Linked DNA regions of Saccharomyces cerevisiae S288C. The gene in region 2 interacts genetically with the main gene of each other region. Each region holds a gene or a part of one and is shown on either strand. Other genes may lie near its edges. The genes, in order: SCS7, PBS2, PTK2 and ORM2.

Region 1 (7,216 bases), on a different chromosome or scaffold from region 2:
TCAATATTTTCACCCTTTATGGCTAAACTTGAGTGTGATTCTTGCATCTGAGTAATCTTCAAACACGAAAGGCCTTTTTGTTTATTTTGTAGAAGAAAAATATTTTAGTGAAAAATTATGGAAAGTAGTAGAAATCCTCTCAAGTGAAGCATGACAAAAAGAAAAGTAAGAAACCTTAAAAGACACTAATAGTTGATGAATTACTATGCGAGAACTCACGTAACTCCAACAATAAAAAGCTATTTACGTATACTGATTAAAAAAGAATACAAGAAAAATTTATTCTTTCCTATACAAACAATGATAATCAAATGGTCCATGTCAGTTCTATAGTTCATATACCATAGGCCTTACGGTAGTTTTCAATCGCTGATTTTTGCTCTGGTGATAGTCTATTTCCCATAAATTGTACCACTTGAGTCAGTGATACAATACTTAGCACAGGAACGTTGTATCTCTTTGAAACAGATTGGGTAGCACTTGTTCTTTCCGGATCAGATTCATGAATCACTTCTTGCCTATCTAAAGCAACAATACAACCCACTACCCTACCTTGAGCAATACTGATTATCTCAAATGCTTCATTGATTGCAGTTCCTGCAGTCATGACATCGTCGATAATCAACACCCTCTTGTCTTCAAGCGATGCTCCAACAATAATACCACCTTCGCCGTGGTCTTTAACTTTCTTTCTATTAAAAGCATATTGAATACCTTGAAATTTAGTGCCCCCGATTTCTGCTAGTTTAACGCATACAATAGCAGCCAAAGGGATCCCTTTGTAAGCAGGTCCGAAAATAACATCGAATTTAAGCTCCGATTGAATGATAGCAGTTGCATACGCGGTGGCAAGGTTTGCCAACAGCTTTCCAGAATTGAACAAACTAAGATTGAAAAAATATGGCGACTGCCTGCCTGAATTCAGCTTGAATGACCCAAATCTTAGTGCTTTGCATTCTAATCCCAGTTCAAGGAAAGTTTTTTGATATTCCTCTAAACTTGTAGTAGATGCAGACATTATTGGATTATGTTTTATTATTCTTGATGGCTCTAGGTCTCGACTATTTTGCGTGACACTTCCTTAGTTCTTAATCTATATAAAAGAGCCTGTGATGGCCTTTTACCCTAGATTAGGAAGCGAAGGGGCCTTTCCCGAAAGGTTATGTATGACTCCCTTGAAATGCATATGATAATTAAAACCAAAAAATGTTATGTGATTCTGAAAGGAAATGCTGTCATGTGAGTCAGGTGTAGAGCAGGTTAGAACAGTTTATATTACATAGTCTGAAAGGCACGTGAGAAAGTGCCATACCATTAGCCGAATACGTGAAATGTCTAAAAAAATACAAGTGAAAGAATAAAGTGCTAAAAAAACTATCAGGCTCTCAGAAGGCAATTTAGCCATATGTATACATATATATGTGTGTGTATAAACCTCATATAAGGGGCCCCAATGGTTTATCTAAAGGATATCCTATTAGGACTTGTCTGTCACACGCAAAACTTCAAATGACATAATGATGAGCACTTGTCAAATAATTGAGTAACTTCTTCGATATCTCTGGTATGTAAAAATAAGTATATCGAGATGAGCGATTGTATCTGTATAGAGGTTGGTTTCTTTTTCTTACCTTTCTCTTTTTATTTTTTTCTCGCATTGGTTCAAAAAAAAAAAATGATGGTTTAAATTTCGTAAAATACGAAAAATGAAGGGAAGGTCCCACCCGGATTCGAACTGGGGTTGTTCGGATCAGAACCGAAAGTGATAACCACTACACTATAGGACCTTTTTCTTCTGTTGTTAGTGTACACTAAAACTTCCGGTTTTATGGAACCTTTTTAAGAAAGATGGTCCCTATTTTAACAATATCGCAAGCAATGGATCTTGTACTGGTACGGAAAACCGTATATACTAACAAATCTTAGGTTTCTACGTCTGACTAAAGAAAGAATTGTGAGTGAGGTTTATAGTAGAAGCTCTCCTCATGACTTTGGGCTATGTAAATTGTTGATAATTAGAGGTAAAAAATAGTATTAATGAAGAAATAATTACTGATCTTCTTATACTAAATAAGAGAGGTATATAAAACACACGCCGATTGGTCATATTAATCATGACCAATATAATAGTGATTCCGGTAGTTACTATACATTTATGTGACGACTCATATTCCTCATATATGTACCTACCATAACATGTTCAACTAATAGGTCTTTAACACAGCTTCAGTATTGTCTGAGCTTCTCGTTTAACATTCCTTCTGCAATAGGTGCAATCACACTTAAACGTATACGAGGTGTACATTAATATACGATGTAAGCATTAGATTGTTACCATAGCAACTCATGTCACTATTAATTACTCTCGTTCCAACATAAATGCAATTGATGATTTGCGCAACGCAGATACAGATTTTACTTTATTCTTCGTGCCTAAAATGGACCATCGTTTCACTTACTAGCCGTTGTTTACTAAGATATAGTTGTATACGGTGTGGAGGATGATAAGATCATTGGACCAATATAACTATATAAATGTCGGCACCAGTTTAATGGAACCTCGAATGCAATTACTGATAACGGAATGGATTAAGAAATGATTAGGTATGAGGTACTCTTATAGTATGTAGAATTTCTGATTTGCTTATGTGTTCATTTATTCTCGAGAAGAACCCTTAGTATATTCTGTGTCCTAATATTACAAAAAGTCAATGAGAGTCTAGGGACTATCAGATAACTTCACTGTGCTCATCTTGATTCCTGTTCTAACGACAGTAACACAGGATACGGTTAGTATTTTTTTGCCAACCTGATCTGTGAAAGAAAAATGTACCTGTCAATTCGGTTCTTTTTTGAGGCCGCTTTTTCGTATAGTCGTCATCGATTGGATATTCGTTTAAGAAATAACGTGCTTGTTCATCGATTTCATCTATGATTCCATTCCATGTGTATGTATATATACGTAGTTACATATAATAATATAAATAAAGATTTGAAATAAATATGTCGCAGAAAAGAACTTTGCTCAAGATTTCATTGCTCGTAATGTTGTTTTTCCTAGGTTGACAATTTTGGACGAGGCTGACCAATAATTATTCATATTTCATTTTGGACAATGGGGCATCGGGGCCTAAGTAGGTGCCAAAAACTTCGTCCCAAAACCAGGATGTGACGCCAAATCCCAGTTGGTAGTTTTTATAATGATGTTCCAGGTGATATTTTTTCAACTTACGCATGAAGGGAGGCAATTTAGAGTGGTGCAAGAAGAAATGACATTCGTCATAACAGACATAACCGAAAAGACCGCCAGCAAAACCAGCGTAAGCCCAATAAAGTGGCAGCAGAGCAAATACCAACTTGTAAAATGGAGCACAAAGGATGACGAACAGAGTAGGTGGCATAACTAAACGGTACTTGTCCATGGGCAAGTAATGATGGCAACCATGTAGTAGAAAATGTGTGGCGAATGCGATGTTACTTTCAGGTAACCAATCATCGAAATGAAATAGGAAACGGTGAAGACCGTATTCAATCAAAGTCCAAACAAAGACACCGACACAGAACAAGAAACATGCAAATAGCTGGTTCATGTTCTTCAAAGCAACACCCATGTGGTACACAACTACAGGCAACCAAGCAACTGGAACAACCCACCAAGCTGTTTTAGTTAATGGTTCCAAGAAATTACCAAATAGCGGGGCAGACCCCTTACCGTAATGTCTTGGTCTATGGATTTGGTCAACGTAAAAATCTTTCTTGAAATCACTACGCAGAATCTGCATCAGCAAAGGACGGTTCAGATCCAAAAATTTATGCTTTTTGTAGTCGTTACTGTAGTCCGTAGCAATACTTAGTTTCTCCTCGGCGGGCAACTCCTTTACAAAAGTAGTGGAGTCAAACTCAGTACCGTCAGCTGACAACTGCACTTCAACCTTATGGTTCTTGTTAGTCAACAATCTCGCTGCCTCTTCGTCAGTTGCCAAGTAACCAATCAAATATTCGTCCTCAAGGATTTCATACGCGGAGTCGCTGTGTTCATGCACATCTGAGTCTTTCATGATCTCAGTAATGTCCTTACCAGCATAGTCCAAGATGGACTCGTCACCACCAGGGTGTTCGCTCAAAAACCTGGTCACGTCATAAATCTTTCTGTTTTGATAAGTGACCCAGCAGTCATTGGCAGTATTGTGTTCTTGTACCGTCTTTTTTGAAAACAGTTCCAAAGTCTTGGAAGTATTAGTCGACATCTTCGTACTAGTTTTAGCTTACCACCGCTTTTAGTGCCTGCCACGATAACAATAGAAAAAAAAACTAATCAAAGACAATAGACACAATAGCTTCTACTATCTAATACCTCTGTTCTTATACGGTTCCAAATTGAAAAAAAAATTAACTGCGAAAAGATGTCACACGTCAGTAAATCCGCGCAAAACCCCGTTATATTTCCGACGTCGTGCGGTAGTTTCTGCGCGGAACGGCCCCGCGGAATAGGCACATTTTCTTCCGGCCGCAGAAAGCTCTCTTTATCAAAAGCAAGACTGTTTTCGGCTATTGTATTATGAGAAGTTTGGTGTTTGTCCAACTTTCCCTGTTGTCCTGGGAAATATTCTGTGGGGAACGTAGCTTTGTGAGCATGAAAGCTATCTTTTCGTGTATGTACGTGTGATGTGTATATGTCTATGTATGCAGCGCTGAAGCCTTTTCAGGGTTGTTGTTGTTGTTGTTGTTGTTGTTCTTTGTCGTGGGCTACCTGCTCCATGTACAGAGTGTGATTAACCAAGTTCAGATAAGCATACATGAAGTTACTTAGTAATACCTGCTCGCGCAGTCCCCTCTTCGAATTGCTCAATTTCAAGTGACTCAGCCGGTATATGGCCCTTTCGACGTTAATTGGTAGACGGTGGTCGAACATGATAACCGTAGACACTGTCAGCAAAGGCAGTGGGAACCCAAAGGCACTGTCTGTGAATTGAACCGGGGAGTTTGGTTTGTCAGGTTTTTTGACGTCTGCAAATGTAAGCTTTCTTGGGGGCAATATGGAGGTATGTTTCAATGGTGGTGCCGCTGGAGCCTGAGTTTGAGCTGAAGCTTCAACTGGGGCTGAAGTTTGGACTGGGGCTGAATTTTGGACTGGGGCTGAAGCTTGAACTGGGACTGAAGTTTGGACTTGTTCTTGAGCTGGAGCTTGTAGTTGAGCTTTTTGCTCATCGGTATTCTCCTTTTGGACGTGTTTGGAGTGTTGTTGGTTGGAAATTTCTGTCGTATTGCTCCTCTTCTTGTTCTTTTTCTTTGCCTCCTCTTCTTCTCTGTCTCTAGAGTTACTTTTGGTACTACTTACACTAACGGCCGGCTGTAGTTGGGGCAAGCTCTCGGAATCGCTTTCCTCTTTCTTTTCTATCTCTATTGCGCCTTCCAATTGTGGTTGTAATGGTATCTGCTGCTGCGGCTGAGAATCTTTAAGGGTTTTTACGCTTATTTTTTGGGAACCATGACGGCTGTGATGGTGACGGTGAGGACGAGGGCGATTGCGCAACACAATGGGTTCAACCGGCTCCCTTCCACTTTTGTTACCAAGCTTTTTGCTTTTCCTCACGCGAACGTGCACGGCATCGTTATTTGGTATTGATGGTGACGATGATGGTGACGACGAGGGTGATGATGATGCATCATGCTTGTGGTGTGGCTTTCTTCTGAATAGGTTCGCAAAAGTTTTCTCGATTTTCTGTCTTGTCTGTGATGTGGCGGTGGAAGTACTTGAATTGTTCATTTCTTCTTTATTTGACACCTCCGTCTTCTCACCGCCATTAAATAGAGAAATATAATGTTTTTTGGAATTGTCGAGCTCCATTCTTTGTGAATCCACGTTTTCTTCATTTTCATCGTCCCCTTGGTTTTCTTCGTTATCGTCTTCTCTGCTCATTTTATTGTTCAACCATGTCCATCCGTTTCTTCGACGATGTCGCTTCGTTTCTTTGTTGTCATCCGTTGCGCTTGGCTTTACCATGTCTGTTGTTCCCTCTCTTAACTCTAAGTCTTGTTCTACTGTGTCATTTCGAACCTTGACGGGTACCTCTTCGGCTTCTTTCTCTATTCCCATTTCTTGTTCCCACTCGCCACTAGACTGTCTGTAATGATTATAAATGTCTTGAAAATCACCAATTGACCCAGGCGAACTCATATTCTCAGAATCCTCATCTTGCTGTCTAAAAGGGGATTTGTGCGGATCTATTTCGACCTTTATTGTATTCTTGGTCAATTTTAGACGTTCTTCGTCGTCGTTTTTCATTTCATCCACACTTTGTTCTACTTCTTTTTCTTGCTCTTGTGACCTGATTCGATAAGTGTTGAATCTACTCCTTCTCAGTGACGATCGTTCAGGCCATGTCATGGTATTATTGATGGGCATATTGGAGGCAAATTCACCATCATCCAAAGTATTCGCTTGTGAAGTTGAAAAACCAATATCTCCTTCATCATAATGCCCTTCCGGTTGTGGTTGATCTTTTTTATCTGAATATGAACCAGCCATACTAAGAGTTCTGGCTAATGTAATGGCATCATTGTCGGTTAGTCCTGCACTATTTGAGATCTTTGTCAGTTCTTCAGTTATATCTCTTAACGACACTGGTCTCTCTTTTATTTTGGAGATTCTTTCTTCGACTTTATTTACTGTTTCAGAGGCACTGTCTCCCTTATTATCGTCATCTTCGTTATCATCAAACTCTGTATATGACCTCCGCAATGTTGAAGGCCTTCGTATTAGTGACGCGTTTCCATGCCTTGACAGCCCCCTGTTCAAGTTGATAGTGTTGTTCTCCTTATTTTCATATGATTGTGATTCTTTATCCTCCCCATTATCCTCAATATCGTTATTTTCATTGCTATTCCCATCATTATCTTCACCATTGTCGCTTAGTTGTATATTTTGTAAAGTATCTTGTACAAGCTCTAGGAAATTATCAGGCTTAACGTTAGGGTGTTGATTGGCGGGAACCCATAATAAGTTTTTCTTTAATACGTTAGCATTTAATTTCCTGGATGGAGAGTGAACACCTTTTTTTATACCTAAGTAGTTACCTTGTTTAGTCTTATTGGAGGATTCTATCCCTGAGTTACCCCTCCCATGCAAGTTCTCTAGCGGAGTTGGATCGCTATATCGTGTGTTATTAACGGTGGTTGTGTCACTTGGCATTGACGCAGAACTGGATGTCGTGCC
Region 2 (8,148 bases):
TGGGTTCAAATCATCGAAGGTTGAAACTCTTTTTGAAATTTTTCTAGGAGGTTTAGTTATATCGAATTGAATTGATGGCCCATGCTTTTTGTCTGTTTCTGCGTTATCAGTAATGGCTATCGGGCCCGAATTTGATCTATGAGTATTTGTTCTTAATGAAGGTACTTTGTTACCAAAATTTGTGTGTAACGAGCTTTCGTCCGAAACGCTCGCCGTACTGTTTGCTTCACTTGACACGGAATTTTGATCAGTGTTACTTTCATTTCCCTTATCTCGAATCTTGATTTTGTTACCATTTATGCCGGTGGCCTTCTTTAGCTTATTGACATTACTTTTATATCTTGTGCCATCCGCAGGGGACCCGATGACTAAAGGGGGACCTTCATCTTCAGCAGTTGCTTCATGCTTACCTTGTAGCATCATAATGGATCGATACATATCGGCTGGGCTAATATCTCTTGAACCCCTTCTTTTTGCAAATTTCTCTGAGGGAACTCTTGCGGGTCTTTGTTTGCTGTGTGGCTCATCAAACCGAAGACTGCTTGGCTTGGGCTTCTGATTTAAACTTTCGTCTGCAACTGTGTTAGACGAACTACCTACCGTCGAGTAGGAGTTGTTCTCCTGATATTCTCCATTGTCATCCGTTTCGTCTTCCTTAACGAAATCATCTAAACTGCCACTGCTACCATTGTGATTCGTATTATTATTGCTGCTGTCCCTACTAATGTCATGAGAATTCTGGTCGCTGTGAACTGAGTCCTGCTCATCTCTATTAACCATTTCTCCGCTGAACAATTTTTCTTGGAAATCATCTGTTTTAGCTTGTTTCCTAGGATAAGACGTTCTTTGGGTACCTGTTCTATTCTTGGTCATGGTTCTTGCTGTTAGTTCCCTTTCTAAGATTGTTTTCGTTCTTCTCATCTTAAAATTTCGTCTAGAAGAGTCTCTAATACCATCGAAGTAGCGCTCAAACCAGTAAAGCCGTACAAATGCCAAGCAACTATGAACTGCAATTGGTGTTGATATGCAGCATACGATATACAGAACAATTTGTTGGTATAAGCTTAGATTGTTGATATCCACAGTATTTAAGCCACCTTGTGTAACTGCGCCCGCTGCTAAAAACAATGTATCAATGTATCTGGTATTCTTAATGGGATATAGCAGGATTGAAGTTATTAATGTCAGGGATATCGTGTAGAAGTAGTGAACCGCGATAAAACTGGGGAAGATATATTTTTTAACTGGAGCAAAATAGTGACCACATAGAGCAATAAAATCACGAAATTTATGGCCGAAAGATTTTTTATATCGTATTTCAAGAGATGCCAATGTGGGCACTCTACTCATCGTTCTTCTAAAATGCATTGTTAGTTATCAAAAAAAGGTAATAACTTTAAGTAAAATGGATAGGAATGACTTCCTTGAGAGCCAATAGAATACCCTCCTTCTTTTTAAGGCAATACAAGTGTGGAATCAGTGATGCTAATGGTAAGGTAAAAACAATGGGCGAAAGGAAAGCAACAGTAACAAAAAGTTTCTAATAATGTAAGAGCTCTTTATCTTGATAGGTAATTATTTACTGTTTTCCGTGAAAGTAGCAAAATTTAGAAGTTAGGGTAAGATACAGGTATAGTTCCTGGTCCAGACTCCACATCTACTCTCAATAACGTGGATTTGAACTTTCAAAACACCTTTTATTTTCTCGATGATTTTGGACTTTTTTTTCTTTCCTAGCCTTGAGCCGTAAAGAGCGGAAAAACCATCAGACAATTCCAGAGCATTTTTTCTTTCTTGCGTTGTCAGCCCCGAACGTAAATAATTTCGAGGAGTCGATGGCCGTAGCAATAATCGAATAACACAATATATTGACGTCCACATCGCTTCACTTGCCGGTGCTTGAAATAACATCCCCTCAATACTCTGTCATAATTCGTGCCCTTTTTTAGGTTCGACAAAAGGAAGTCAGACGATATATATATATGAATATATATATATATATATGTCTATAACGAGTATAATGCAAGTTTATTACAATAAACATATGTATATGTAAGGTTTTTTTGTATTCGCCGCATCATTTCCACAGTAGCTTTTCGTCTGCTTTTTTTTTGTTGTTATATTCACGTGCCTGTTTGCTTTTATTTGGATATTAACGCTATAAACCACCCATATGTAATGCCGGTACATTTTTAGATAAACCATTCTCACCACGTTCCCGTAAGATTTTGTTGCGCCTTTCTAATCGTTCAGTGATATACTCACTCATGTGGACATCCTGGTTTCTGTATTTTACTAACCAAGGATGCTCTGTTAAAGCTGCGTATGTAGGTCTTCTTTCCGGAATCTTTTGTAGACATAAAGAAACAAAATCTTGTGCGTCAGAACTGAATTTATCTGAAGGTAATCTCGGTGGCGGCCCATCAACAATAGCGCTCAATTGAGAGAAAATGTTGTCGTATGTTTCTGGTGGATACGGATATCTACCTAGTGCCATTTCCAGAATGCTTAAACCTAAAGACCAGATGTCTGACTGTACGGTATAGGTGGCTCTATCTGGATTCAACGATTTGATTCGTTCAGGTGCCATGTATGACTGACAACCAATATTAGTCTTCGCTAAAGATGCCACCAAATTACCAGAAACACCGAAATCGCACAGCTTTACGGTGCCTTGGTTGGCTGAACATAAAATATTTGTTGGTTTGACATCTCTGTGTATGATATTATGCTGCTCTTTGAGTTCTTTTAGTCCATGAATGACAGCATTGGCAATAAACGCTAGCTGAGGTTCATCAATGCCGCCGATTTCAGATGATTCGTCGTATATTTTATCCAAGGAACCACCATCCATGTATTCCATACACATGTAGACGGCGCCCTCAATAAAGAATGCACCATAAAAATCCACAATATAGGGAGAATTGCATTTATGCAAAACTTCTAGTTCCATTAAAATTTGTCTAAATTTAGCCTCATCTAGCTCCAAACGGACTTCCTTCGTCGCCATAATAACATTTGTGGGCTTATGCAGTACCTTTGAGACGTTACCATAGTTACCATGACCCAGTTCATCCAAAAATTCTAGTTCGTCCAATGTAATTCTCGAACTAGAACCATTGCTGAAATCTATTCCTTTAGAGGATAGCGATAGTTTGCCTGCAAAATTCAAAGAGCCGGATTTGATATCCACGTATTTCGAGAAATTTGCGAAAAGACCACCACCACCACTACTACCAGAATTTGAAGAGTTGTTGCTGTTTCCAGTTCTGGGTGTAGTGCCTACAGTGTCATGTGGGCCTTCGGTACTTGATGAGGTGGATGTGCTTTGCACACCATTTATCAAAGAACCCGGATTCGATCTTTTCCCTTCAACAACTTTGCTGTTTGATAAGGTTTCTATATGTTTTTTGTTTGAAGGGCTTGGGGCAAACTGCTGCGGCTGTTGAGCTGTTTTAGTGGGCATTTTTAATGACATTCCTCCTGGTGGTAATTTGAGCCCTCGACGGGCACTTAAACTTTGTTTTGGTGTGTTGATTATAGCAGGGGCCTTATGCGGGGCAACATTTGGTCTTGTAGGGTGCTGGGTAGAAAGCGGCCTTCTTGGTGCCCTTCTGTTAGGATTCAGCAATTGCGCCTTATGTGTTGCTGATGCAGTATTAGAAACTGACGGCGTAATGTCAGTAGCAGGTAGGCCAGTATTTACACCAATTGTTGTGGCGGTAATTTTGGTTGTATCGATGTTAATATTTACGTCGGTAATGTTTTGTGTTTCTTGATTGTCCAGAACGTTCTTAAGAGTGCTCTTGGAGGACGCTTGCACGACTTGGCTACTCATTCTTTGTGAAACCTTAGAACTTCCTGCTACGGGAAGAGGCGGCAATGGCTTATTAACAATCTGCTGAATATGTTTAGGTGATTGTGAACTGCCTTTGTCTTGCTCGCTTTGATTACTGCCCACGCTGGCAGACCTTTTCAATGCACGTTGTTCTTGAAAAGCTTTTACACGAGCATGAAGGTCAGCGTTGATGTTATTGTAGTGCGAGGACGTCGAAGATGTTCTCTTGACAGCAGAGCCATTATCTGAGCCTGTTTGCTCGTTTAATTGGATAGATGACTTACCAGTTTTCTCATGGAGACTGAGGTTAGCAAACTTGTCTTCCATCTTTGAGAAATTAACGTCTCGATCTGCTTAATATAATAATGTATCTATAGAAATGTACGGAAAAACGGGTACTTTATCAGTTTTAGTTGTATGACGTTGATGTCTGGAGAAGGACAAGGAAAAAGTAGTTCTGTGAAACGTGTACCCACAATAGCAGCTACCCTTGTCTTCTTTTTTAGTAATTCTTTTCTTCCGGCAAGCAGGTAAGCAGTTATCTCTGTGTCCAGATCCCTTTGAAGTAAAGTTTATTCAATTTTCTATAGAACGTGTATGGCTCACGAAATCGCTCACTAGTAGACAACACACGTTAGAAAGATCCTTTCAGGTGCAACGGGACGCAGAGGGAAAAAACTGGAAAAATTGCCACTAATGAAAAGGCAAATAGAGGATGAAAAAGAAAAGGTAAATGCAGATGAAAGGACGAAGACAGATGCGATAAGAACAGCGTTTGAGATCGGATGCAAAGGATATAGTTTTGCTCTGGCACTGTGTTAGTGTGCTTGTGGGTGCTTTTTCTTCTATTTGCAAGAAAATGTGACCTTTGCGGATAACCTATATAAGACGGGGTTTCCTTGCTTTGAAAAGTTTAAAACAGATATTCTTGCAGATACAGGAGTACATACTTGTGCGATCATCACCAAGATAACAAGAGATTAATCAAATATAGAAACAGATATATAAAATAGATACAGAGTGCTACGCAATAAGATTTTTTTTTCCTGTTGCAATACTATACTACGTCTTGACATGAACTCTCAACAGTGATATTTCTGGGGAGTTGTATCGATGTGTAGTAACTGGTAGTAGTCTAGTAATGAGTTGTTCTCATGTTAGTGAATATTCTGTATGCTTCCGTGCCTGCTGCTATGCTCAAGGGGAACAGAAAAGCAACACGCTCAAAATAGTAATCTACATGAGAAACAAGACTTAGTCATTGCCTTTTGCCAGAATTGGCTTCGGCCGTAGCTGTTGAAGTTAATCCCGCAGTAAAAGACAAACGGCTCCGTATTCAGCAGTTCTATATATCACCTCATTAAGACACAGACGATCTTGACAGTTGCAGCAGAAACACGCCACCATATGTTCTTGTAGCTACACCACGATTGAGTGTCTGCACTCTTATTCAAGTGTTTCAACTAAAAATAAGTCTAAGCTGAAAGATTATTACTTTCATTTGATTTTTTTATTTTTGAAGCCCCATTTCCTTAAATCGTTCTCGTGGACGAGATTAAAAATAGAAATGATGTAGAGGAGATGCACTAAACATTGCCTCCCTGCACCGCACAATTACTGTAGCCATTGTGCTTATTTATATCTACCTATATATCTAAGCAGCTATATCATGGGCTTGACATACGCGACTTCTGCTTGCTTTTGTGCTCTCGTTCAAAGAGCAATTACTTCATTCCATCTCAAGAAGGACTGTTGCAGGTCATTATTTCATTTCTTACTGCACGTATTTCGATTGAGCTGCTAATGAAATCACAACACAACTACCCAAATAGCCTAAGAATTGGAAAAAGGCCCTTCTTGATAATTGGATCTGTTGAGTTGGCGTATGCAAAGCTGTAAATATTGAACGGATCTGGTTGAAAAAGAAAATCATGCTTTCTTTATTGTCGCGTAAACTGTACACTGCTGCAATTATCTAGCTGGCTGCTAGTAGCAATGTGCTCTTCGTTACGCTACCGTAGCTTTTCTCCGTGAGTGACTGATTTTGCTGCTGTACATTTAACTCCTTTTCTATTTAAATTGTGCGCTGCCATTTTCCGCATCGGAAAACCTAAGACAAATTTTGATGAGTATACTTGGTACGTGCCCACGCAGCCAATAGTGTCTCGTTCACGGCATCAGATACAGCAGTACTTAAAAGGGCACTGAGGATCAGGTTTCCTAATCTGGAAAATTTTGCAGCACAAAGCTTAGTTATTTATCTCCGATTATGGATTTCTGCAGTACCTAGGTTTCAACGTAAAACTGTAACAGAACCTTTCGTCATGCAAGCATAATTGAGTTGAGTGCCTTGTTTCCAATTTCAGTTTCCAATTTTACTTCAAAAATCACTTCTGAAATAAGATTTAAGACTTGTCAACCCTGTTCCAAAAGTGGACGCATCATTAAATGTACCTTTTTTCTGTACAAACTTTATAGTTTCTAGGGTTGGTGATGTGACCGTCTCTGGCAGAGTCGCAATTTAATAATAAATATTAGAATTGTGCTCTGTAAATGTATTAGATTCGTTGTTAACAATCTTAGTGACTGAATTCTCATTACCTTCACTGTTGTTCAAATCGATTTGTTGGCCAGTCACATCTTCACCTCGATGATTTATCTTCTGTTGTTGTTCCTTTTGGACCATTTCTAGAGCGGCCATGACGTTATCTTCGAGGCTCAACATAGCATCGTTCATTATAGTATGGTCATTTCTATCTAAATCGGGAACTGAATGGTTCATATCTCGTTCATCACGGTTGACGGGGTTCGCGTGATCCTGCGATTCGTTATTCGTTAAATGGGGTACAATTCCGTTGGAGGCAACATCCAAGTATTTTCGTCTTTTTCTTGAGTTTTCTTCCTCCACGAATCTATTGAAGGAATTCATTGACTGTTCGTCGTCCAATAGTGGCGTGCTCTGTATTGAGGAAAGAAACTCGGATCTTTTATTCGCTTCGTTGGCTTCAGCTGTTGTTGCGGGACTATTCGTGGCGTTCTGGAATGTGGGTTGTACGATATTAGTGTCTGGCGGAGTGGGTTCACCCTCCACATCATTCAGCGTACTGGAAATAATATTTTGAGGGAAATTTATTGCCTGTCCCAATAACGCATTATCATGCTTCTTGCTTTTTCTTGGATTGTTGATAGTTTCTATATGCTGCGTCGGTAGCATATGCGCCTGCTTAACTGCTCTCTTTTGTTCAATTATTACCCCTGTCCCGTCTTTGTACCTCATCTTGCATTTTTGGCACCGAGAGATTACCTCCGAAACAGTACTCTTGATTCCTCTCCAATGGTATTTTTCACCAATTTTGGAGGTCACCTTGTTGATGCCTAAATGTTCCATTAAATGTATCTCTAATGCAATCTGGATTTGTTGATCCGTGTCATAAATGATTTCTTTTCCTTTTGTCATCAACTTGCCATTCAATACCGAATGAGTTTTGGAAAGTACTCTTAATCTAGCCTTTTCGTTTCTATCACAATGTAAAGGATACTTGCCTGTTTCCAGAAAATGCTTTAATCGTTCATATTTCCCAATTTCGATACTCTTTTGAGGATCTCGTAACAAATCTATACTTTTCGTAATATGTGTGAACTCTTTACCATACATGAAAGAATCTACTGGGACATCAAAGCCCTTGAGAATCCCGGCTTCAGGCAGCTTTCCAATCCGCCTAAAGTTCAATCCTTCCAAAATTCTTCTGATTCCTACGTTCGTTCCGTAAATTAACGGGAAAAAGGAGGACGTAAATCCTAATTTCTTTGACCATTCTATGAATGTTTCCATTAGTGTTTTCCCAATACCTTTTCCACGAATACCAGCATTGACCAGAAATGTTCCTGTGACCACATGCGCTGACCGTCCAGGGTATGCTGGTTTGAGGTCAAATATGCCTAGACATTGCTTCTCCCACTGCATACTTAGATTTAAATTGCGACGTTCTTTTCGTTTCTTATATTGGGTGGTGTGCTTCGTGGTTTCTATTTCTGTTCCAAAATTATCATTTGTGTCCGCTTCAGTATCCATACTATAATCCAGTTCTGGTATTTCGCCTAACACCATAATACAAACGTGACCATCATTATGAAACCAGACATTTTTGAATTCTTCTAGTGATAAAGTCTCGTAATAAGGAAAACTATCTCCCTTTTCCACTTCCATGTTAAATTCATCTAGAAGGAAATTTAAGAGCCCTAGCGGCAATAAATCAGGATACGCAGGTATAGGATACATCGTAGCTATTGTTTCTCCATCTTTCAATAAA
Region 3 (8,433 bases), 370 kb from region 2:
GACACACCGCTGAACATTGTATTTCTCAAGGGTGATATGATGTTTAGACTGGAAAAATGCTGGTTTCTACAATTGTAAAGGTTATACTTCTCATTTACCAAATACCTTTGTTTCGGAGACAAGTCTTTTTCAGCATAATCGCTTCTCGAAATTGCAAGCTCTTTCTTGTATGTTTTGGTGACTAAATTCTTTTCTGCATCCGTAAAGTCGTCTGGATGAGAATTAACCCATTCCATTAATTCATGTATGGTATATTTAGCTAAACCTTCTCTACCATCCACCTCGTCAAAATAGTCGTTTTCGTCAAACTTATAGTCTTCAATAAGGGCAGAAAAGCTTTCGCCCGAGCTTTCTTCTTCTACAAATTTGGACATGTACTGTTTAGCCGCATCGGAACTAACGCTAAGTCCCGTGATGTCAATGTATATACCTGAGTCAATATCGATGAAACGAGCATCAATATTGTTTTCGCCGTTCCCATGAACTCCTACCGTAATTGCGCTTCCTACATCTAGTAAGAATCTTCCATTACCTTCTCTTGGATCTTCTAATATTAGGGATTGGTTGAAATATTGACTCAAGTAATGTAAATGTTTAATGGGCATCTGTAAATCATGGTCGACATCCCAGGGAAACTTCAGACCATCATATAGATATCCATACAATGTACCATGCGATAGCCAGGAAATTAATCCGTTAGCCTTAACAAATTTCTGAAAATTTCTGATCAAAGAATTCAATCTTGCTTCAAACTCCTGAGGGTCATTTAGGAGATTATGTCCGATTGAGAAAAATCGCCTGTCTCTATGATGACCATCGGCAGTCGCGTCCGTAATATCAGAGGCCTCTGCGAAATACTTTTGCTGTAATGCAGGGGACGTATTTACGGACGTCTTTAAACTTCGTAAATAGTGGGTATCATGAGATGGTAGGCCTTCAGACCTGAGCCTGGTCTCTAATTCAATGATCCTCTCTTTTGCATTGAATTGGAAATCAGATGGTGATAGTTCTAGATACTCTCCAGCGTATATTGTTTTATCCAACGCTTCAACGTCAAGTTTCCTTTTTTTAGTGGATCCATGATGTAAAAATTTTTCAAACATGGAAGTGTGGTTGAAAATGAGGTCGCCATTTACCATTTCATTTCTGTGCCTCTTAATGTAATTCTGTAGTAGATTTGTCTGTACTATATTTGATTTGGAAGAGTCTGTTGTCTTCAAATTGATTCTGTATGCATCTTTATCGCTGTCCAGTACGGTTAATGACAGTGGAGTAAAGTTAGAATATAACAAGTGGTTTTTGGCTTGTAAGTCATACACTTCTGGCCTCAACCTTTCAGAAATTTCGCTTATGATAAAAGGCAATTCGAAGGGAGTACCATTGGAATACGCGTCATTATTCATGCAGTGATCATGTATGGCTTGCTGCACAGAATTAGAATCGACAACCTTTCTTACCCTGTTGTACCAGAGCGATTCGTCATATTTATTCCTATTTGTGACGAATAAAGGCTCTTGGACTTCACTCTCTACCATTTCTAGCACATTTTTATCAAAGGCACCCTCGCAAACGAACTGGCAAGATATGTTCGTGTGTCTCAGTGCAATGAGTTTGTTTGTAGAGTCAAAATTAGCCCAATCGTACCACGAAAATGCGTATTCATTGGAATCTGATTCTAATAAGTGATCTAGTAAAACTGACCATACCAGCCTTGGGTCGTTATCGTAATATCTCAATTCATCTACCGAATCAAGAACTTGCCCTTTTTCAGGACCCATTTTCACAGTGAGAAGATTATTCTTCAAGGTGTACGTGTCGATCCATTTGCCTGAAGTATCAAAATTCATTTTTTCGTAAAGTTTGGCTACGTTGTCTTTTGATCTCAGATCGAAAGAAGCATGGTTGTTGTTTCTGTTAGTGTAAGCAAGCGGTTTGAAAAAGAGCGCCATGAATGACTTCCAGTTACCGTCAATAATCGACGAGCGACCGCCCAATACAAATATGGTAATGAATAGTAACTGGATAGTTAGAAGAGTAATGATTATCTTTTTAAAGTGAAGCCGCAGAGATCTCAAAACGTACATGGAGAACCTGCGCAGTGATAACATCATTGGAATTGTATCTTGCTTCGCTTTCTTTTCTCTTTCTCTCTTTCTTTCTCTTCCTCTCGTTTAGACAATCTCAATGATTCTAATTCATAAAAATAAACGTTGGTTGTTTTCCAGAAAGTAAATAACAGTTGTTGTTAACTATATAAGATACAAATAGCGGAATGCCAGACTAAAGACAAGTGCACTCTTACTTGATCTTCGTCCAATGTTTCTTCTTAAATAATCAAGCAAAGCCCCAAAGTAGAAATAGGCCCGTGATTGTCGCGGACCTTCAAGGATGTGACGTTTTTGCCTGTTTTTTTCAGGTAATCCTCTCCACTACTATCTTTTTTCTTTTCTGCGACCCAAAAAAAAAAAAAGGAAGGGAAAACTAAGATTTTTTGATAAAAGGCGGGAAAACGGAGGTTGTGCGTATTTCTCTTGGCGATTTTTCCATTGAACGTCAAAAAATTCTTGGCAAAACTTTTTTACTAAGCCATTTAGGGATGAAAAACAATAACGTACAAAGACATATTTGAAAGTCCGTCCCGTCCTCTTTTACTTGCTGAGTTTGAGGCTGAGTGATTCTCTAATACCATCCGGGCGGTTTCAAATATGCCGATGGAATATTGATAAAAACTTAACAGAGGTGCTATGGGGCAGAGACGCAGATACATAGGGAGACTCGAAATACATTTAGCTATCTATTTTTAACTCTCAAGCCTCATGTGGATTATCGCTCCTAGTGCTTTTTCTTTCGTTCTCTTGTTTCTTGTGAGTGTGCATATCCTCGTATTCTATTCCCTCCTTCCTTAAAACGCGTTTCATGTACTCGATTTCTTTGTAAGCATTTCCCAGTTCTTCCTGCAGTTTCTCATTTGCACTGGCTAATTGCGATGCGTTTTGCTCGCTAAGCAATTTTTGTAACGTCCACTTTTCGATGTTTGCTTCATCGGTTTCTTTCAATTTTTGAATGTATTCAGCGGCACACGCCAATATTGCTGCCTTACTTGATTCTCTCACGGGCAGGAGGTCGCTTAAAACGTTGATTGCAGTGTTGATGTTTTCGCGGCGACGCCTTTCGACTTCTTTATGGGAGTCTTTTCTTTGCTTTTTCCACTCGTCTGTTGTGGCCAAAGTAGTAGGTTTTCTTCCACGACGACCCGGCTGCATGCTTATATCCTTTTTGAGATCAATGTCAGCGTCATCATTGTCTTCATCATCCTGTTGGTGTTCTGGCCCACGATCGTGTTCTGCCAATGGTATGAGCATGTCGTTTTTAGATTGCTGTGTAGATTCCATTGGTGAAGACGTCATTCCCTCCAGGGAGGTGTTTGGCTTGACTCCTTCATTTGATGGGGTTATGGCTCTTTCCCCATTAAGGGAATCCTTGTGCTCACCATTCGCGTTCGTTTGATTAGATGTGTGGGCATCAGAACTATCTTCCTGGCCCTGGATTAAGTCTGTATAATTGACGGTAGCGGCAACAGCAGCCTCAGCCACTGACGCATCTTCGTCATCACTTCCTTTCTCATCTTTGTTAGACGTCAGTCCGCTTTCATACTGACTTTGAGTCCCTTTTAGCGTAGCCCCTTCGCTCAACAGAGCAGAGTCAATATTTCCGTCATTGCTCTCTTGTGACAACAAGCCTTGATCTCTTTGCTTTTTCCTGGCCTCGCTGTAGTTCTGCTCCTCGTTATAGCCTCTTTTTCTTGCCGAATGGATTTCCTCATCCTCAGTAGAAAGCTTATTATTATTTGCCAGAGAGTTCATCGTTAATAAAAGTGTAGAAAACCGTATTATATTTTAAGCACTTGATGTTGGTACTTGTAGCAGAAATGAAAATGACCGCCAACTAAAATGATTAATTAACAAAGTGTTTATCTTTAAGGTATAATGGTTTACATTCTACATTAAATAAAAAAACGTGATAAGCACGTGGATAATTGTTGTTTGCCCAATACTTTTCTCGTCCGATTTTATTTTTTTTTTGACCTTGGTGGGTGAGACATGGTGGTCCCGAAGGATCCGAGAGGAATGAGAAAAACCGATCACGTACATCGATGTACGGGAAAAATAAATAATAAAATGTTTGTTTATTGTTTGAAGTAAAATATATAAGTACATATGTGGATTTATATGTGTGTGCTTTATTTCATTGTTTGATTTATCTTCCGTTCTTTATCTTTTCCCGGTGGGATATTTTATATAAAAAGCTTATAAGGAAGGGTATGAAAGAATATGACGATACTAAAGCATAAAAGAGGGAATTAAAGAAGTCCTAACGTCTATCTTGAGATAAAGGCGCTCACGGATGACATGTTTGTAACGCTGTTGGTAATGTCCAAGTGGTGGTGAATTACCTTCTTCTTTTTCGAGGATGACACGCTTGGACTTCCGAGGCTTCTCAGTGAATTGCTTGATGACGAAACATTCGGTGCGCTAAAGTTCTTTGTAGAAGCCGGTGTTTCCGATTTGAGTGATAGGTCGCTCATACGCTTATCTAATTGAGTGCCAGCCTTTGCAGGGAGCGGAGTGGGGCCATTATGTGTTGGTGTAGTAGGGGTGGAGTTTAGCATCGACTTTAATTCCTTCATTGTGGAATCATCTTCGCTTAAGTTGTCCTCTACTTTTGTGGAGGTTGGTGTTGGTTTTTCCAATATGCTGTCCACATTAGTCGTGGTAGCCTCTTCAATGACTTTGTCCTTGTCGCCGTTCTTGACCTCATCTTTCTTCAAATTTTCCTTTTTATCTTGCTGCTTAGGTTTGGTGCTTTCATTCCCCCCTTCATCCCCAACATCGTGTGTTTTGGTCTTTGCGCTATCTTTTACCTTGGATTTTTGTTTCAAGGAAGGAGATTCTGCAATTTCCAACATCGATCTTGGTTTAGAAGTGAGCGTTTCCTTTTTTAGGAATGGATTAGACGTGTGAATGACCTCTTGATCATGGGGTGCATCTAATGAATTTTCACTAAAATCATTGGTAGAAGTACTTTTCCTTAATTCAGGAACCCTTACTAAGTCATCATCATTTGGCTCGACACATGTTTCAATTTGTTGGAAAAACGGATCATTAAATAAATCATCCATTGTATATCTAGTTGCAGGGTTCGGGTCAGCCAATCTCCATGCGATACGCGTGGCATCAGTATTCTTGAAATTTCTTGCTAAAGAGTATTCGGAACCAGGACCCGGCTTGTGGCAGCCCTTGTCCCTGAAATGTGGGTTTTGATGATTGATGAAGTTGTCATATGACACTTCAAATTCCCTGAATCTCGCATCAGTGTTACAAGAATCGATGAAGGGGATGATATTGTTAATCATGGTAATCAGCATGATTCCGAGGGCATAGGAATCCATGGCCAACGGATTATAGGGTTTTTGGAACTTTTCGGGGTAGTGCTTCTTGGCATCGAAGTACATTACCTCTGGCGGAGTGTATGGTGGAGAGCCAATCATACCTTGGCATGTTTTCACTGGACTAGTGTAGTCATGAGGTATCACATGGTACCAATCAGAAATACCGAAATCCGTCAATTTGCATATACCTTCTTTAGAAATTAAAACATTTTCGGGCTTCAAATCACGGTGAGCAATACCATTGTCATGACAAAACTTAATACCTTGGGCCACTTGTTTGAAAAGACAATATTTTTCATTGAAGGGAACGTTCTTCCAGCCTGTTCTTTCCATCAGTTGGAAGAGGTCCTTAACACCTAGTTCCATAATAAACCCCCAACCACGAGTTGTATATGTGGTCGTGGGAACTTTTAGAAGATAAAAAGTATTCGTGATGTGAACGTTATGACTTAAATGCTTAGCTATGATGAATTCTTTGGAGCATCTCTTGTAAAACTTCTCGGGTGACTCGTGGTATATCATATTCAGTTTTTTTAGAGCGTAAACATCCTTTTGCCTGTAACTTGATTTAACCTTTCTAACTTCACTAGACCCACCCGAACCAATAGGTTTATTGTCCGTATCAAATACGAAATTATCCGTTAAATGGACACTATATTGTTTCATATCTTCGGGCAAAAAATCGTTCGGATTAGCAATTGGAAGGGGCAACATCCGTATCTTGCTGTTACCATCATGCATGTAAAAACTCAAATCGTTCTCCTTATTCGTATTCAGAGTGTCTGCAAATGCAGTATCTGGCCTAGCATGGTTTGGGCTTATGCCGTATGGATTATAAACTATATTCTCGTTGGGAAAATGGTGACTAGCCATGCTATTAGACCTTTGCGGTAAGCCCGCGTGATGAGTATTTCTTTCTTTGTTTCTCGCCCTTTCTTTTTCCTTTTCTCTATCCAAAACTGCTCTATCCCTATCTCTTGTCGAGGCAATGCCAGTACCTGTGCCCAGAATATCAGAGGGAGAGTTCAAGTAAGGGTTATTATTATGTTTAATTAAGTCCTGCAATGCGACAGAGGACTTGTGTGACGACACAGACCCATTTGAAAATCCTACAGAAGCATTGTTTTTTCTTCTATGTAAAGAAGCAGATCTCTGCCGTGCCCCAGCAGAAGACGAAGGTGAATTACCACCGCTACCACTGCCACTAATGGACGGAGACGTTGGCCTTTTTCTTAAACTTCTCCCATTGCCCAATTGTTCGGCACTAAGCAGTAACGAAGAGTTATCCGTGTGACTGCTGGAATTAAACAGGCGTTTTCCCAATAGTTTCAAAGTACTAACAGAGGGACTTTTATCTACCTCTTTGTCCTTACCGTTTCCCGCCATTATCTTATTCAATCGGTTAACCTGTAAAAAACTGCTACGGCTTACACAACTTTACTTTCCTGGTGTGCGTGCGATATCGTGGTTTGGATAAGGGTAGCGACGGGATGTGACAATACCTTTCTTTAACACTATATATAAACCTGCTTTTACCGTCAACCGGATATTATTTGGTTCTACCTCCCACCTGCAAGGGGTCGTGCCAATGACGAAAAGACAGCCACCCATGCACCGCACTCGCACGTGGCAACTATTTGCGCCTTTGCCCAAGAGGTTATGCTTGTAGATGGGGTGACCGTACTAAAGCGTTCATGTTGTATATACCATATATGTAGGCTTGAATGGCTATAGGACGCGGGTATGTTTATCATGCTGCCGGCACGTAGTACTTGCAGCTCCGGCATTTCTAAACTGTACCTGTAGTGGAAGGGTCTTTCCAATAGTTTTGCAAGACATATCATTTTGCACGCATAGAACAGTTTCGGATACTTTTGATACAAACGGGGAGGAATGGTTTATTCAGTAGGTACATTAAGAACGTTTGCCTTGAGATAGCGTTTGGTGCTGTTATTTTGTGAAGAACGGAGACTTGTTTGCTGTAAGGGATAAAAAAAATGGCAGTACAGTTTATACTGTGCTTTAATAAGCAGGGTGTGGTGCGGTTGGTGAGATGGTTCGATGTACACAGTTCGGATCCTCAGCGTAGCCAGGATGCCATTGCGCAGATTTATAGACTCATATCTTCCAGAGATCATAAGCATCAGAGTAACTTCGTAGAGTTTTCCGATTCGACGAAACTCATATACAGGAGGTATGCGGGTCTGTATTTTGTCATGGGTGTGGACTTACTTGACGATGAACCCATATATTTGTGCCACATCCATCTGTTTGTGGAGGTGCTAGATGCATTTTTCGGCAATGTCTGTGAACTGGATATCGTATTCAACTTTTACAAAGTCTATATGATAATGGACGAGATGTTTATTGGAGGGGAAATACAAGAAATTTCAAAGGATATGCTGTTAGAAAGACTAAGTATTTTAGATAGACTAGACTAGGATATATGTACAGATCCTCCTAGAAGAACGAAAATTTATCATGATCAATATGCGTACTCAAAACAGGCTCAACGATTTGCCAAATAAGCGCTTCAACTTCCTGAATGCCCTTATTAGTAACGTCTACAATCGTGATTGACTCATCGCCTTTCCTTATCTCTTTATCCAATAGCTTCATAAAAGTTTGCTTCACTTTTTCTTGAAACTTAACAGTTTCGTATCTTTCGTCACCAAATCCAGATTTTTCGGCGTTATTGTCGACATCTTGAGTGCTTAAAAATAATGTCAAATCCGGTTTCAGCAACCCTACATCGGGTTGCAAGCACCAATCCAAATCCATTCCATTTGTCCCCTTAGCGGCAGAATATGCCACTCCAGAATAAACATATCTGTCCATGACAATGTTCTTGCCTTCTAGTAAATCTTTCTTTATCTTGTCAACTATTTCCCATCTATTTGCCGAAAACAAGAGGTGAATTGCCTGATCTGATAATTGGAAACTATCATCCGTCAAATATTCGTTTATGAGTCCTCCGATTCGGG
Region 4 (6,977 bases), on a different chromosome or scaffold from region 2:
GAAAAAAAAAAAAATGGAAAACTTAAAAATCACATTGCGTTTCGAGGCATTCTTCAATCAGTTGATAGGGGAAGGGAATTTGCTGCAATCATTAAATTCGTTTCCGAAAAGTCTGGCTAAATGGTAGACGATGTATGCAATATTTTACCATATATAGAAATCATATACAAGACACAAGACGAGAGCGGAGGAAGGGTAAGGAAGTAAAGAGAAAAATATCTATGCTTTTAAACTGTAGTATCTATACATTCCACGCTCAATGCACCCAAAAACTTGATATTCGTTGACTATTTCAAAATGTAATCTATATCTTTGAGTCGTCAGAGGATCCTTTGGATCATAGACAAATTCATCGGGATGCGTGAAATAATAATTCTTACGCTTGTGAAGGTGGTTGAAGTGGGAGAAGGATAGAAACGATGCCGAGGACGAGTGTTCACCAGTTAAACTTGGTCTTGTTTTATTTCCTGAACGTGAGCGCGAACTTTCAAATAAGTGAAGTTGGGACCTTCTCCGTTGCAAGTCGGGATCGTGCAAATATTCGTCGTCAGTCTCTTCAAAGTTTGCGATTGTTCTTAGTTCCTGCTGCTCATCAGCTAACTCCTGAATTCTTTGTTCTTGCAATGATAGCTCACGTAAATCATGGACCGACCTATCCCAGTACAAACCATCCCTGATTTGAGATGCAGGAGAAACATTGATAGCAAAGGGGTTGGCAGAGGAAGAACCATTGTTGCTTCTTAAAGTGGGTCTGCTCAACAGAGAATTCCTTCTTGGGATGGCATTCACGTGATTTTGGCTATCTTCCACATGACTGTTGTTGTCGTCCTCATTATGGATGATTCTCCACCCACCACGAGGTAATGTTGGGGTAATTATTGGTAGTGGAGTATCACCAAGGCTGATCGCACCTTTTCTATTTAAGAATTGAGAAACTGGTGGCTTTAAATCTCTGTAACATAGTTTACGTCTAATACCACTTTGAGGAACTAGACCACATCCAAGCATGATTTTACTTTGGGCAAACTTTAGGAAATCCGGCTGGTTTATAATTTCTATGATTTTGTGACCCTCAAAATCATACCTAGTTAAATTTGACTTAGAATCCAAGTCATCACGATTCAGGAAAGGATCAGTCTTATATAACCAATATCTCCTACCATAAGAAGAATCAATGTAACATTTCCACTTTACTTGTTCTGCTGTTGAAATATCTTTAATTACCGAATTTGGGTTTTTATATCTGTATGCAATAATTTCATGTCTATCATTTAGTTTTTCAATCTGTTGCCACGAGTCAAAGGAAACTTCTAACGCGACTAAACTTGGAGAACAAGTGTACAATAATGAGTCCTGAATAGTCCATTTATTCACATAAGAGTTACCAGAAATATTCAAAAACTTCAATTTTTGAGCACAATTAGGATGGTCTTGATCAATTGGTGTCAAAAATTCTACGAGCGTAGATATCGGGATACTATTACCTTTTATACTCAAACTTTTTAACTTCGGAAAATTCCACTTTATGAACTGTAAGCTATCGCGGCATTGGTAATAATAAGTGGATTCGCTAATAGGGTCCTCGCCGAAAGAAGGTGCAACATGAAGCGGTAAACCGCCGATATTTAGATATTGCAAAGTTTTGTTATGGCCATGTTGACAAAGTTTTTTTAGTAAAAACATTGTGTGCACCTCATTCCAAGATGAGGAATGGGCAATGACACTAACATTCAGCCATTCTAATGTAGAAGTGTTGTCAGGGTCTGTAATTGTTGGGTGATGACTAAAAAACTCCAGAACCGCTCTTGGAGTAACTTGAAGACAAGTAGCGAGGGAAAGATGAGTTAAATTTTTCCAGTGAGGTATGCCGTGATATAAGGTACTATCATCAATGGAGGTATGAGATAAATCAAGTTTTTGTAGTTCTGGTAACATTTTTAAGATCTTCCAAAGGACGTGTGATGGTAGATCAATACAATCATTTAGGCCTAAGCAGGTAATCTGATAATTTTGTTGAATAGGTTCCAGCCGGTACTGATCAATCGATTTATTAGGGTAGTATTTATCCAGGGCCTTAATAAAACTTTCTGTGAAAGTGGTGCCTGAACAGCCACAGAAATCCACTACACTCAAGACTTTTCCTGGAGATAGAATATACTTTATGATATTATCGTCTAAATCGTCTTGAATATTTTCACATGCTAAGAATTCCCTTAAGTTTGCTTTTGTGAGCATTAGAAACTCAAGAAGAGTTTCGTTAGTTAGATTTTTAATCATTTTATTCATCTCACTGGACCTCCCCAGTCCAATAGACGTTAATTCTTGGAAATCGGCTACTTCAATCTTATTGCAAAGGCATCTATTTCCCTTTAAAGTCTGTAAAAGACCGTGAAATCTCTTTGCGGTAGTTAAATTACAATATCTATAAATGAGAACTTGACAAATATGGGAGAATGTCTTATTAACAGTTAAATTACTTTTGACAAATGTAGTTAAGTTTTCGTTAAACTTTTCTGCCGTACCTGGATGGTCATTTCTTAACAAATCCCTAAACTGGTATGTAAGTATTTGGTACACAATTTCTGGAGGAATAGCCGCTCCCAAAGATTGGCTTGACAAGGTCTTGGACTTCAAATCTGGCATTTGGCTTCTTCCGACTCTGTTGTTTCCTATTGTTTCTAATAGGGTACGTACTGCCACGTATTTAATGAGCTGAATAAGATCACAGTTTTAGTATTGCCCCAACCTTATAAGCGCTAGTTAGATATAAAAGGATAAGGGTAGCAATATAAATACAACTTAGTTGGTGGTAAGAGTAATGTCTACAACTTTTAAGAATTGTCGGATCACTACTTCATCAGATGAGGAGGGGAGGGTACACCAAATTCCACCTCTAATTCAATGAGCCATGTGAAATAGCGCGGGTAACATACCTCCGTGAGGCATCCTTTTATTTGACTCTAATGGGGAATTGTACAAATTGGCTTCAAGAATTGAGTAAACGGGGAAGGAATAGTACAAAGTTGGTGCCATAGTACGTGTGATGGAAAAAAACTATCGCTGAACAGGAACTTAAGTAGCTACAGCGGCTATTTTATACGCTCGAACGCACAAATTGATAAAAAAAAATTCTTGACTGTAGACTGTGTATTGATAAAACAAATCCACGAGCTGAAGGTAACACAATTGACATGCAAAGCACAAGGCCACTAATTTGGAATCGTCCCGCTCTGCTTTCTGAAACCATGCGGGCCTTATCAATGCACAGATACGTCATCAGGTACGAACACGATATTAAAATTATCAATAATGTTGTATGATATCTTGCTAACTTAATTTGATTCTTGTAAAAACACAGCTTTTGTAGTAGCAGGAGGGCGTGAAGATCGCCAGTATGAGTGCTTCGAAGATTCTTTCACAAAAAATTAAAGTTGCGTTGGTCCAACTGTCAGGCTCGAGTCCTGACAAAATGGCCAATCTTCAAAGGGCTGCAACGTTCATTGAAAGGGCTATGAAGGAACAGCCGGATACCAAGTTGGTCGTATTGCCAGAATGCTTCAATTCTCCGTACTCCACTGATCAGTTTAGAAAGTATTCAGAAGTTATCAATCCGAAAGAGCCTTCGACGTCAGTTCAATTTCTGTCTAATTTAGCCAATAAGTTTAAAATCATCTTGGTAGGAGGAACAATTCCGGAATTGGATCCAAAGACAGACAAAATCTACAACACCTCTATAATTTTCAACGAGGATGGCAAGTTGATTGACAAGCATCGGAAGGTCCATCTTTTCGATGTAGACATTCCTAACGGTATATCGTTCCATGAAAGTGAAACCTTGAGCCCTGGAGAGAAGTCTACTACCATTGACACGAAATATGGTAAGTTTGGCGTAGGTATATGCTATGACATGAGGTTTCCGGAACTCGCAATGCTAAGTGCACGCAAGGGTGCGTTTGCCATGATCTACCCTAGTGCATTCAACACTGTCACAGGGCCCTTGCATTGGCATTTACTGGCAAGAAGCAGGGCAGTTGACAACCAAGTGTACGTGATGTTATGTTCTCCCGCAAGGAATCTACAGAGTTCTTACCATGCATATGGCCACTCTATAGTGGTGGACCCTAGAGGCAAGATTGTAGCTGAAGCTGGCGAGGGAGAAGAGATTATTTATGCTGAATTAGATCCCGAAGTCATTGAGTCATTTAGACAAGCGGTACCCTTAACCAAACAAAGAAGATTTGACGTGTACTCCGATGTAAATGCGCATTAGAGAGAATATAAAGAAAGATGATGATGTAAGGTATACGTACATATACATATACACATACATACATATATATATATATATATATACATATATGCGTATAGGCAGAGCCAACTAACTAATTTGAGCACGGCCCGTAATACCAGGGATGGATATTCTTAGTCTATGCGTAATTCCCAGCTTAGGAACGACACCAATAAGCACCGTCACGGCGAGGTTGGAGAGGAATAGTGTCATGTCGTTGCGGTAGTACTGGTTGCTAATCAGGAACAACACAATGGGTACAATCAGCAGAAATTTTCTAGTGGGTGTGTACAAAGTCTCATCGTTAATCTGCTCCCACATGGTCAGGTTGTCGTACGCACCACCGTTAAAGTCGAAGGGCGTACCTTTGACAAGGTGGAACATGATATAGAATCCGATGATGTAGGTCATGTTTGTTAAAGTCCACGTCCATTTGGGCGTCGACCCGAACAAGGAGTAGAAGAGCCTCAAGAGTACTATTACGACGATATGAATCAACCACGCGCCTCGCTGGTCGACCCACGTAGCGTTCATGTTGGGAAGCATCTGCTGGTCATTTTCGTCTTCGAAGGTTTCCTGTTCCACATGTGATATTACGCTGGATGACCGTCTTCTCCTATGGTCGGTCACTGGAGTGGATATTTTGTTGCTTTGAGAAGGGAATGGTTTCAGGTTAGACACATTGGGGGTAAGCGGAGACTCTTCAAAAGCTGGAGATTCGTTTTTAGTGCGGTCAATCATGATGAAACTGTTTCTTATGCGTTTTTATAATGGTATAGTCTTGCGTTAATTCTCTAATTCTACGTGCGGAAGAGAGAAGCTGACCTAATGATACGAAGATATATTTGAGTATACGTATGTATATATATGTTTACGTCTGTGTATGTGTGTCCTTACAAGGAGTGCCTCTCGGTTTTGTTTCATGCCATCGCAATCCTTTACTCGGAATCCATTCTCGGTTTCGCCCGCTCTTTCGCTCACCCTCTGTCTCTGCCAAAGCCACGATTACGGGACAGGCTATCTTTCTCAAAAGGGCGCCAGAAAAAAACGGCGTGGAGACAAAGAAGGCATTAACCTCGTTGAGTGAAAAGAGTTGTGCTTTTCACAGCATGAGTATTCCCCCCCACTATATATGAGCAATCAAAATACGCCATACTCATCCATGCGATGCTCAACCAACTGGTTTATATCGTGAGTTCTTGGCAGAACCATCCTCAATGCCGGGGACCCTAAATTTAATCTTCGTTCTTTGCGGATACGGTCACGCATCCGCAGAACAGCGCATCCGCTGTCGTTGTTGGAGTTATGGCCGCGATAGTAGGAACGGTCGCAGAAGGTATCGCGTCGCAATCTCAGTTGAGTGCCAAGGAAAGGGCCCTCTCCACTGTACGTCGTAGACATGTTTGTATAAAAGGGCTGCAAGGTGTGGTCTTTGGCAAGCGATTACGCTGCAATGTTGGGGGCAGGAAACGGTCGGGCGGTCGGCTTGTAGTGTATATATATATATGGATATACATAATCGTATGCATATTTATGTGTAGAGGTTCGTTTCTCTTGCTCTGAAAGTGTCGAAAAGATAACGCAACAGCTGGACGGCATGTCAACCAACGCAAAAGAGTCTGCCGGTAAGAATATCAAGTATCCATGGTGGTACGGAGGTGCAGCGGGTATCTTTGCTACCATGGTGACACATCCTCTTGACTTGGCCAAAGTCAGACTGCAGGCGGCTCCTATGCCCAAGCCCACACTCTTCAGGATGTTGGAGAGTATCTTGGCGAATGAAGGTGTGGTGGGGTTATATTCCGGCCTGAGCGCTGCTGTGTTGAGGCAATGTACATACACGACGGTGAGATTCGGTGCATACGACTTGTTGAAAGAGAATGTGATCCCACGCGAGCAATTGACTAACATGGCGTATCTTTTACCTTGCTCCATGTTCAGTGGTGCCATTGGGGGGCTTGCAGGGAATTTTGCAGATGTTGTAAATATCAGAATGCAAAACGACTCTGCTTTGGAGGCAGCGAAGAGGAGAAACTACAAAAACGCTATCGATGGTGTGTACAAGATATATCGCTACGAGGGTGGACTGAAAACCTTGTTTACCGGTTGGAAGCCTAACATGGTTAGGGGCATACTGATGACGGCAAGTCAGGTCGTTACGTATGACGTGTTTAAGAACTACTTGGTCACAAAATTAGATTTCGACGCATCCAAGAACTATACACACTTGACAGCGTCCCTGTTGGCTGGCCTGGTGGCCACCACTGTGTGCTCTCCAGCAGACGTCATGAAGACACGTATCATGAACGGCAGCGGAGACCATCAACCGGCTTTGAAGATCCTTGCCGACGCTGTCCGCAAAGAGGGCCCATCTTTCATGTTCCGGGGGTGGTTGCCAAGTTTCACTAGACTGGGTCCATTCACAATGTTAATTTTCTTTGCAATTGAGCAATTGAAAAAACATAGGGTTGGCATGCCAAAGGAAGACAAGTAGGCAGATTTATATACATATAAACATAAAGATACATAGCAAATAAAGAAAGCAAGAAGAGTAAAGCTTGTACACGGTTGGTAGGTATAACGCAAAGGACGCTTTCGGTATTTTTTTTTCTATTCTTGTTCTTGTTGGAAACGTTGCAACCATGTCCCGATACATAGATAACCAGCATTCCTCATGCAGCGATCAAAT

Evidence for each region.
Region 1: mutations in PBS2 (region 2) and SCS7 together harm fitness more than expected from each alone (negative genetic interaction), as found in Saccharomyces cerevisiae (5 studies listed by BioGRID).
Region 3: mutations in PBS2 (region 2) and PTK2 together harm fitness more than expected from each alone (negative genetic interaction), as found in Saccharomyces cerevisiae (5 studies listed by BioGRID).
Region 4: mutations in PBS2 (region 2) and ORM2 together harm fitness more than expected from each alone (negative genetic interaction), as found in Saccharomyces cerevisiae (4 studies listed by BioGRID).

The regions. Positions count from the first base shown.
Region 1 is NC_001145.3:806,531-813,746, forward strand, and holds SCS7 (fatty acid alpha-hydroxylase), read right to left. Parts: upstream 4,248-7,216; coding exon 3,093-4,247; downstream 1-3,092. Other genes in the region: orotate phosphoribosyltransferase URA10, read right to left, coding at 335-1,018; YMR272W-B (uncharacterized protein), read left to right, coding at 4,559-4,666; ZDS1 (Zds1p), read right to left, coding at 4,703-7,216. UniProt on the Saccharomyces cerevisiae protein: Ceramide hydroxylase involved in the hydroxylation of sphingolipid-associated very long chain fatty acids. Postulated to hydroxylate the very long chain fatty acid of dihydroceramides and phytoceramides at C-2.
Region 2 is NC_001142.9:175,939-184,086, forward strand, and holds PBS2 (mitogen-activated protein kinase kinase PBS2), read right to left. Parts: upstream 4,166-8,148; coding exon 2,159-4,165; downstream 1-2,158. Other genes in the region: TRK1 (Trk1p), read right to left, coding at 1-1,368; MCO6 (Mco6p), read right to left, coding at 5,613-5,771; SPT10 (Spt10p), read right to left, coding at 6,360-8,148. UniProt on the Saccharomyces cerevisiae protein: Kinase involved in a signal transduction pathway that is activated by changes in the osmolarity of the extracellular environment. Activates the MAP kinase HOG1 by concomitant phosphorylation at 'Thr-174' and 'Tyr-176'.
Region 3 is NC_001142.9:544,189-552,621, reverse strand, and holds PTK2 (protein kinase PTK2), read right to left. Parts: upstream 6,836-8,433; coding exon 4,379-6,835; downstream 1-4,378. Other genes in the region: MNN14 (Mnn14p), read right to left, coding at 1-2,111; CBF1 (Cbf1p), read right to left, coding at 2,808-3,863; APS2 (Aps2p), read left to right, coding at 7,447-7,890; CDC8 (bifunctional thymidylate/uridylate kinase), read right to left, coding at 7,910-8,433. UniProt on the Saccharomyces cerevisiae protein: Essential determinant for high-affinity spermidine transport. Required for the activation of the plasma membrane proton pump PMA1 via phosphorylation of 'Ser-899'.
Region 4 is NC_001144.5:826,782-833,758, reverse strand, and holds ORM2 (sphingolipid homeostasis protein ORM2), read right to left. Parts: upstream 5,030-6,977; coding exon 4,379-5,029; downstream 1-4,378. Other genes in the region: LUG1 (Lug1p), read right to left, coding at 220-2,643; NIT3 (putative hydrolase), read left to right, coding at 3,395-4,270; DIC1 (Dic1p), read left to right, coding at 5,886-6,782. UniProt on the Saccharomyces cerevisiae protein: Component of the SPOTS complex that acts as a negative regulator of sphingolipid synthesis. Acts by inhibiting serine palmitoyltransferases (LCB1 and LCB2) activity.